Drosophila melanogaster: one gene and its partner. The protein of the gene in region 1 interacts with the protein of each later gene in a pairwise test. Each region holds a gene or a part of one and is shown on either strand. Other genes may lie near its edges.

The links.
Region 2: the proteins of lobo (region 1) and CNPYb interact in a two-hybrid assay, tested with the Drosophila melanogaster proteins (one large-scale study listed by BioGRID).

Annotation. Positions count from the first base shown.
Region 1 is NT_033777.3:25,191,959-25,195,882, forward strand, and holds the start of lobo (lost boys), read right to left. Parts: upstream 1,819-3,924; 5' UTR 1,697-1,818; coding exon 1,280-1,696; intron 1,209-1,279; coding exon 1,080-1,208; intron 849-1,079; exon of another isoform or gene 327-848; coding exon of another isoform or gene 1-326. Other genes in the region: dan (distal antenna), read left to right, coding at 1-17; CG13653 (uncharacterized protein), read left to right, coding at 3,602-3,761, 3,830-3,924. UniProt on the Drosophila melanogaster protein: Key component of the nexin-dynein regulatory complex (N-DRC), essential for N-DRC integrity. Involved in the regulation of flagellar motility. Involved in sperm motility. Required for the sperm to enter in the coiled storage seminal receptacle (SR) tubule.
Region 2 is NT_037436.4:19,094,474-19,098,397, reverse strand, and holds CNPYb (canopy b), read left to right. Parts: upstream 1-2,180; 5' UTR 2,181-2,255; coding exon 2,256-2,921; 3' UTR 2,922-3,508; downstream 3,509-3,924. Other genes in the region: CG14079 (uncharacterized protein), read right to left, coding at 1-129, 188-235; Naxd (NAD(P)HX dehydratase), read left to right, coding at 766-1,092, 1,171-1,746; MESR6 (misexpression suppressor of ras 6), read right to left, coding at 3,834-3,924.

The DNA of each region.
Region 1 (3,924 bases):
GTCGCCGTCGCAAATAGGAAAAGCCAAAGTTGGCGCCCACGGAGCCAGCCACGGATACAGAGATAGAGGATAGCCCAGACGGTGCTCTGCACGATGCAGAGCCAGGACCCGGTGTCCTGGCTACAGATGCAAATGCAGATACCGCCGAGGGCTCGACGAGGTGCCATGTCTATGCGCCGGCCGTCTACCGATCGTCGGCCACCCTACTCAGCTCCCTGTTCTTCCCTCCCTACGAATTTGTACATTGTGACCTCGACGATGACCCCGACGACTGCCAGATCACGGGCGAGTACCAGCAGTACGACGAACTGAGCTCCAGCAGTTAGACCACATGGTTCCACGCATCCGGAGGACTCCACTGAATTTATCTCCTAGCTGTGAAACCTATCGAGCATACTTTCAGTATCTTTCAATTCAATTCGAATCCACTCCATTGCATTGCATTGCATTGTATTAATTAATTAATCGTACGGTTAACGTGTATATATCGAGAAACTCTATTTGTAGCTATTATGCATTTCTTTTTGAACGGAAAGACAACCGACTCTGTTTTGTTAGTTTGTTTTTTCACCCAATGATGCATTCTAGAAAAATGTTATAGCCCTTAGTTTTTGTTACGAAAAAGAAAAAATACTTTTCGAACTGCAAGGTGTGTTGGCGCGAATGGCATGCATTTGATATCAAACGTTTTTAAATTTCGTATATTAATAACTATGGAAATGTGCTCAAAAGAATTTTCTTAATTCGGAATTAATGCGATATTTAAATAAAAACATTTACAAATTTAAATGTAATTTTAAATACATGTTCAATAAAAAATAATTAGATAATTTTTATGAAACTCTTAGAACTGTCGTCGTATTTACTTACCGCTGTCGTATTGGAGGGTCTAAGTGGTTTTTCATATATATCTACTAAAATACCTAAATGTTTTACTTTTATATTTACAAGTATAAATTGCCTTGGTCAAGTTATTGAACATTTTAGAACGCATAAACTTTTAAATATATTGCTACATGAGCTCGGAACATAAGAATAATGGATATGTGATTGGTTCAACTTTGCCATAATAGACTTACCAAATTTATGGGATCCTGCAGTGGCTCATACTGAATGAAATCGGCGACAAACTTGGCAATTTCCTCGACACTTGATATGAGTTGCGTGTAAATAAACGCCGTTGGCCTGATGGTGGTGCAAACGAATTTCTGTAAGTTGGTTAAGAGTGGCAATTTATCAAAACGCTGGCCACTAAAGGAGCAGATGGTGCTGACTTCACCTGTACTTTGCATTCGTTGGGCAGGGCCAAGACCATGGCTCGTCTCTTTGGGTAGCTGAGAACCAATTGCTTCCGGAAATTCTCAGCGTACAGCAGGAGCAACCGCTCCTTGGGCGAGAGGGTATAGTACGATGGAGGATAGCACTGGGGACTGTTTTCGAACTCCTCGACTGTTTCGGGAAAGGATAAATCGATCTTTCCGATATTGAGCGATGGTTCTCCTTCGGATAAACTAAATTCACTAGATCCCATTTCCTCCATTTCCGCCTCGAACTCGCCCTCCATTTCATCTGCAAAATCCGATTCCGAACCTTGCGAGCGCCTCTGCTCGTCGATTTCCTTGAACTTGGCGCTATAGCGACTCGGGTCGATGTTGCTCACCACCTTCTTGTACTTCTGAAACAGTACTTTCGGCATTTTGGCGTGGTTACAATTGCCGGCTCTTTAAAATAATAAACAAGAAACTTCGTTTCTATAACTACGGTGTTTGTAGAAAAATATATATTTTAACGGCTAGATGTGACAGAAATTGAAATATGTATTGTGTTGTGCTAGTCTGTTCATTGTAGCAAATAAAATATATAAAAATTGTAATTTGCTTAAAAAACTTTCGTAATTCTAATTAGTTTTGTGTGGGTTTCGCTTGAAATAACTTCTTATAAGAACGAACATTTCCTTCTTCCGGTTGAAAACTTTACTTTACATTACTTTACTTCCTGATTCTGGTTTGCGTCTGGGCTAAATAACCGTTGTACTGGTTTGTAACTGCTTTGGCATTAGATTTGAACTTCTTTACCCTGCTTCGTATATCAATTTCTACTGCTTTTTTCTCGGTTAAGTGTCTACATGTAAAATTGAAGTAGGGTAACAATTTTACCCAAAAGTCTTTTTGTAACGAACATTTTTAAAATAGAGCAAGCAGGTTGTGAATAGCATATGGCCATCACCTTTTAGCAAAAGAATAGTAGTAAGCTTCATGTCATGAAGAGAATAACTTTAAAATTGACATTAGTATTTTTAAAATAGTAGGTAAGCCCTTGAACGATTGATTACCTACTGCTTTTTAGCCTTGAATATTAAGGCATAGCTATATTTTAAGAAAATAAAAAACTATTTAATTTCCATTCATTTCGCTAGTCATTTTCAATTAGCTATTTTTTCAATAGCTATTTTCTATAAAATTTGATGGAATGTATCAAAGTTATATTTGTATTATAGCACAGAAGGCACAAAACTTCCCTACTTATAAATATTTGGTAAATTGTATGACAAGTCACATATTTTAAATGTGAAAAATTGATATAATATATAGAACTACTTCTTCACCTTGTGCATTTTTTGTTGATTTAATTTAAATAAAGCTAATTCCACATTCAACCTAATCTTTTCCCTGGTTACCTACATACATACATATGTATATTTCGACTAACTTTATTTATTGTCATTATGCATATTACATAATTACCCGTCGAAAACTCAATGCTGGTCTTCCGCAGCTGCAGTGGCAGCGACAGTGGCAATGGCTTACTTAGATGGCACATTTTTTAGGGACCACCCCCTTGTCTGCATGCACCACAAATTGCATTTGCATTATTTATATTGCATCAATAAAACCCGCATTCAGGAATAATTAGCGAGCGCAGAACTTGTCGATGAGCAGGAGCGGAGACCAGCGGATTGAGATCGGCGCAGTTGATCCGTTTATGGCTGGCGCTAGGATTTATTTGTACTTCCTTTCGCATTTGAAAGGCGAGCGTCTACCTGGTGAGCCTGGTGAGAGCGGTACATTCATGAAACCATTTGGCGCTTTTAAGCGACTCAATTACGCACTTTGATTCCCACATTGGCCGCTAGTAGTCGCCTGTCGTTGGGTGTCGCCTTGCTCTGCCTCGTCCAGCTTGGTCCTGTGGCAAGGACTGAGGACTGGACGCGGTCTACCTGGCCGCCGTCTGAGGCAAGATGCGTAAGCACTAATTTTTGTGTGCGCTCAGTTTGCCGTTTAATTGCCGCGGCTCGCGCTAAGTGTTCCCTAGAAAAACAAAGGCAGGCGCTGCGCGTCGGAGGTTCAATCAAGCACATGTCGTCCTGGGCTGACTCCTTGGCCAAAAGTGGTCCTTGCGCAGGCGCCCCGGATGTCTCGAGTGTCAAGCGCCTTTGCAGCCATTGTCTGATTATCGCAGCCACGCAACGCTGATGTGCGGTTATGTCAATTAACGCGGATGCGGATCAGTCCGAAAGGATCGAGGTATATAAGGGTAGCTACGCAGGAGCACAGGACATCACATTCGCCACAACCACCGAACGAAGCACATCGATCTGAAGATGCAGTTGGGAAAAGCTATCATTCTGATTTTGCTGGCGGCCATCCAGCAAAGCTGCCTGGCTCTCTACATCAAGAGCGCGGAGAAGAATCCAGCCAAGACTGGGCCCAAGGACGATTGGGGCGTCTTCAAGAACACACTCGGACTAAGCCAAGAAAAAGGTGGGTTGCGACTTAGATTAAAGCTCATTTTGAACTCTTCACTAACTTTGTCATTATTTCCTCTTCAGTTGAACTGCTAAAATCGCAAAAGGACCAACAAGGCACTAAGGAGCTGCTCAATCGATTCATTCTGGAGAACCCAAAGGCACTGCCGAAGGCCAAG
Region 2 (3,924 bases), on another chromosome or scaffold:
CGTGAACTGATCGTGGCACAGCATCGGAAAGCGAGGCTCCATGGGTCCAGTTCGAAAGTAGTAGCCCAAGGTCTTGATGGTGGCCTCCAAATATCCGTGTGAACAAAGCCAAACACCGGGACAAGTGAGCTGAAAATGGAAGGAGCCTTGATGTCACAGGTACACTTCAATCGACATAGCCACAAACCGCATGGAGCTGCAGATCTAACTTTACGTAGAATCTCTTGTGGGACATTTGCTGCCTGATCCTAAGTGAAAGTCTGCCGGAAAATAGCCAACTGCTTGGGGCGGGAATCGAGAATTGGGGGGCGAAAGCGCATGGTTCTTTGTTTTGGAGCCCACTGGTTGCCGGGGCAGCGGTTGAAAGTGAATTTCAAAGTCGATTACTGGTCGATAACGCAGGGAATTTTGATTGATAAGCAAAAGAGTTGAAAGTGATGTGTATAGAATGTATAGTGTAACTATACAATGTGAAGAGTACTTAAAGAATTGAATAGTTTTTGAATTAATTAAGAAATAATACAAAAATATGATAGTAAAATACTAAAAAAAATCTATTTTAGAATAATTAGCTAACTCACATTTTTCCATGTTTTCATTTTCTATAGCTTTAACTACTGATAATACGGCTTCCGTGGGAACAAAGTATTTCTCACAGTGATAGCAGCAACCGATAGGAAATCCCGACCACAATGTGCATCACTAGTCACAGCAATAGTAAACAGCGGGCACAGTCCACAAAGAAAACCATTGCCGCCGGTAGAGATGGCTGCAGTTTCGGATATTCCAGTGCACCTGCCCAAGCTGCTGGCTCTGTTCAAGACGGTGGTGCCCAAGCTGGTGAACAACAAGCACAAGGGACAGTACGGACGCATTGGAGTGATCGGTGGGTCCCTGGAGTACACCGGAGCGCCGTACTTCGCGGCCATTTCCTCGATAAGAGTGGGCGCTGACCTGGCGCATGTGTTCTGCCATTCAAATGCGTCGGCCATTATCAAGTCCTACAGTCCCGATCTTATCGTGCATCCAGTGCTAGACTGTGTGGATGCAGTGGAGAGAATAGCGCCCTGGTTAGAGCGACTTCACGTCGTTGTGAGTAGCCCCCCCCCCCCACCTACATACGTATATGCTACATTTATACAATTAAATGCTAAATTTAGAATCGTTAAGGTTATTGGACCTGGACTGGGTCGGGAGCCGGGCATCCTGAAGACGGCATCCAACGTACTCAAGCTGTGCATGGACACCAAGAAACCAGTTGTCATAGACGCCGATGGACTGTTTCTGCTCAACGACAATCTGAATCTGATCTGTGGACAGCCGAATGTCATACTCACGCCAAATGTCATGGAGTTCCAGAGACTGTTTGGCGAGGATGACCAGGCGGCGCGCCAGAAAATGTCCCTCCTGGGAGCCGGAGTAACTGTCCTGGAGAAGGGCGCCAACGACAAGATCTATCTCCCTCACTGCAACGAAGTTCACTCAATGCCTAGCGGCGGTTCCGGTCGCAGGTGCGGTGGACAAGGTGACCTGCTCTCCGGATCTTTGGCCACCTTCTTCTCGTGGTCACTGCAGTCGGGTGAACCCAATCCCGCCCTGGTAGCTGCATGTGCCTCTAGTTACTTTGTGAAAAAGTTAAACGCGGCTGCATTTCAAAAGTTTGGCCGCAGCCTACTGGCCAGTGACATGGTCAATCAAATACCCAGCGTATTTCAGACCGAGTTCGAAAACAGCGATCCTCAATAGTCATTTACTGGACTTTGAACTAATTCCAGCTGTTTGTTTTTTAAAACAAGGCGACCATTAACCGAATTTTCAATTATCGTGGGATTTTTAATGTCTTTAACAGAGAACATATTGGAATGGATAGAAATGTTATGGGAATTTTTTAATTGCATTTAAACAACGTAAGAACATCTGGTTCGTTAATTTGAAAGCTGCATCTTGTTACAGATAAAATGTTTCGGCATTCATAATAAAACCATATTGATTCAATTTTAATAAACCGTTTAAGCATGACTTCTGTTTTAATAAACAAATAAAATAAAATAAAAGTTTTTTTTAAATGTATGTAGGATAATAAATCATAAAAAAGAAAATAGATTTGATATAGATTATTTTAAAGGTATTGGCGGGAAAAAGCTAAGTCGTCGGTTCCGTTCGGTTGTTGGTGTTTTGCAGCACTGGTCTTCTCGCGAGCGGCATTTCCACGTCAGGTTTATTATTGTTTTTTTGGAATTTATCAAGCAGTGAAAATGCTCCTCAAAAGACTGCCTGGCTTTGTAACACTCTGGGTCGTCCTGCAGTTAGCCGGAGCTGATTCGCCCGAGGAGGAGCAAGGCGTTCGCTACGCAAACCGCTGCGAAGCCTGCAAAATCCTGGCCACCGAATTGGAAGCTCGACTTGGAGAGACCGGCAAGTCGCACGACGTCATCGAAATCGGATACTCCGTTGACGATGTGAAGCCCAAGAAGCGCACTGAATACCGGCGCAGCGAACTGCGACTGCTCGAGTCCCTGGAGAACGTGTGCGAGCGAGTGTTGGAGTACAATCTGCACAAGGAACGCTCTGACAGCACGAGATTCGCCAAAGGTATGTCCCAGACCTTCCAGACGCTCCATGGCCTTGTGGACAAGGGCGTCAAGGTGGATCTGGGAATACCCTACGAGCTGTGGGACAAGCCCCCGGTGGAGGTCACCCAAATGAAGACCCAGTGCGAAAACCTACTGGAGGAGTACGAGGAAACCATCAGCGAATGGTACTTTAAGCACCAGGATGAGAAGTCACTGAAGAAGCATCTCTGCGAGGACCATGTGCTCAAGAAAAAGGCCGAAAGGGAATGCCTCAAGGAGCAGCTTGCTCCTCCGGAGGCTAAAAAGGCCAAAAGGGAAAAAGCCAAGGGCGACAAGGAGGAGCTGTGAGCCAAATAATCCAAGTATATCCTAGGAATCCCTACCATATTGTAATTCCATGTCGAAAAATGTAGATGTAGTGCAGCTGTTGTCGATGCAATTTTTAAAAGTAACACAAATTTTAGTTTTTGAATGAACTCAAGCATTGACAAACTAAATGTAGTAGTTACTTAAATTCCAATGATCTTACTTTTTTTCGAAATGGAAATCATTTTAAGTTTTACCACCTATAGAACAAAGCGAAAAGTGTTTAATTAGCTTAAGTGAACTCACTATGTCTCTCAAGCTAATCTGTATAACTTCCACAACGACTGAGCCACAGAATGCTACTGAAAGTTTCGCCTGGGGCCATTGGCTTATTGATTTCGGCCACGAATTGGGGTCGACAATTAAAAGTTGACTGCCCTCAATGAGGTGGCCAGTCATAACCCCCAGCCAGAAATTCAGGTGTTCATGCCATGTCCATGTCAATAAATGAGATTTTGCGCATTTTCTAGGAACCTACGGCACTGAATGGAAGAGAGTTATCCTTAAATACATGTACATTTTATAACTAACATTTAGTATTTACGATTAAATATAGATTATCTGTGCATACACATTTTGATTTTACTGGGGCACCTAATATGTCGTTTAAAAGGTATCTCGTCGCGAAACCTTTCAAAGTTTAAAAACAAATTATTTTGAATATACCCAATTTGCATTAAATGAGTTTGTTTAATTGTCTGTAATAAATACTTCGCGTATATTTCAAAGTAAAAAATATTATTATAATTAGTATTGGATTTTCCATCATTAGGTTCTAATTCGAAATCACTACGGGTATCTTTTAGTCGTGGAGTTTTCCCGCCCAAACGAGTTTTGTAAATTCAGAATCTAATTCGCAGTGGCGGGCGAAAGAACCCCTAGTTATCCATAAGCTTAGAGCTTCATCACATCCCAAGGATCGTCCATATAGTGCAGGATGGCTTTGTCGTGCAGTCTTTCGCCAAAAACCTCCTTAAGCAGGCGT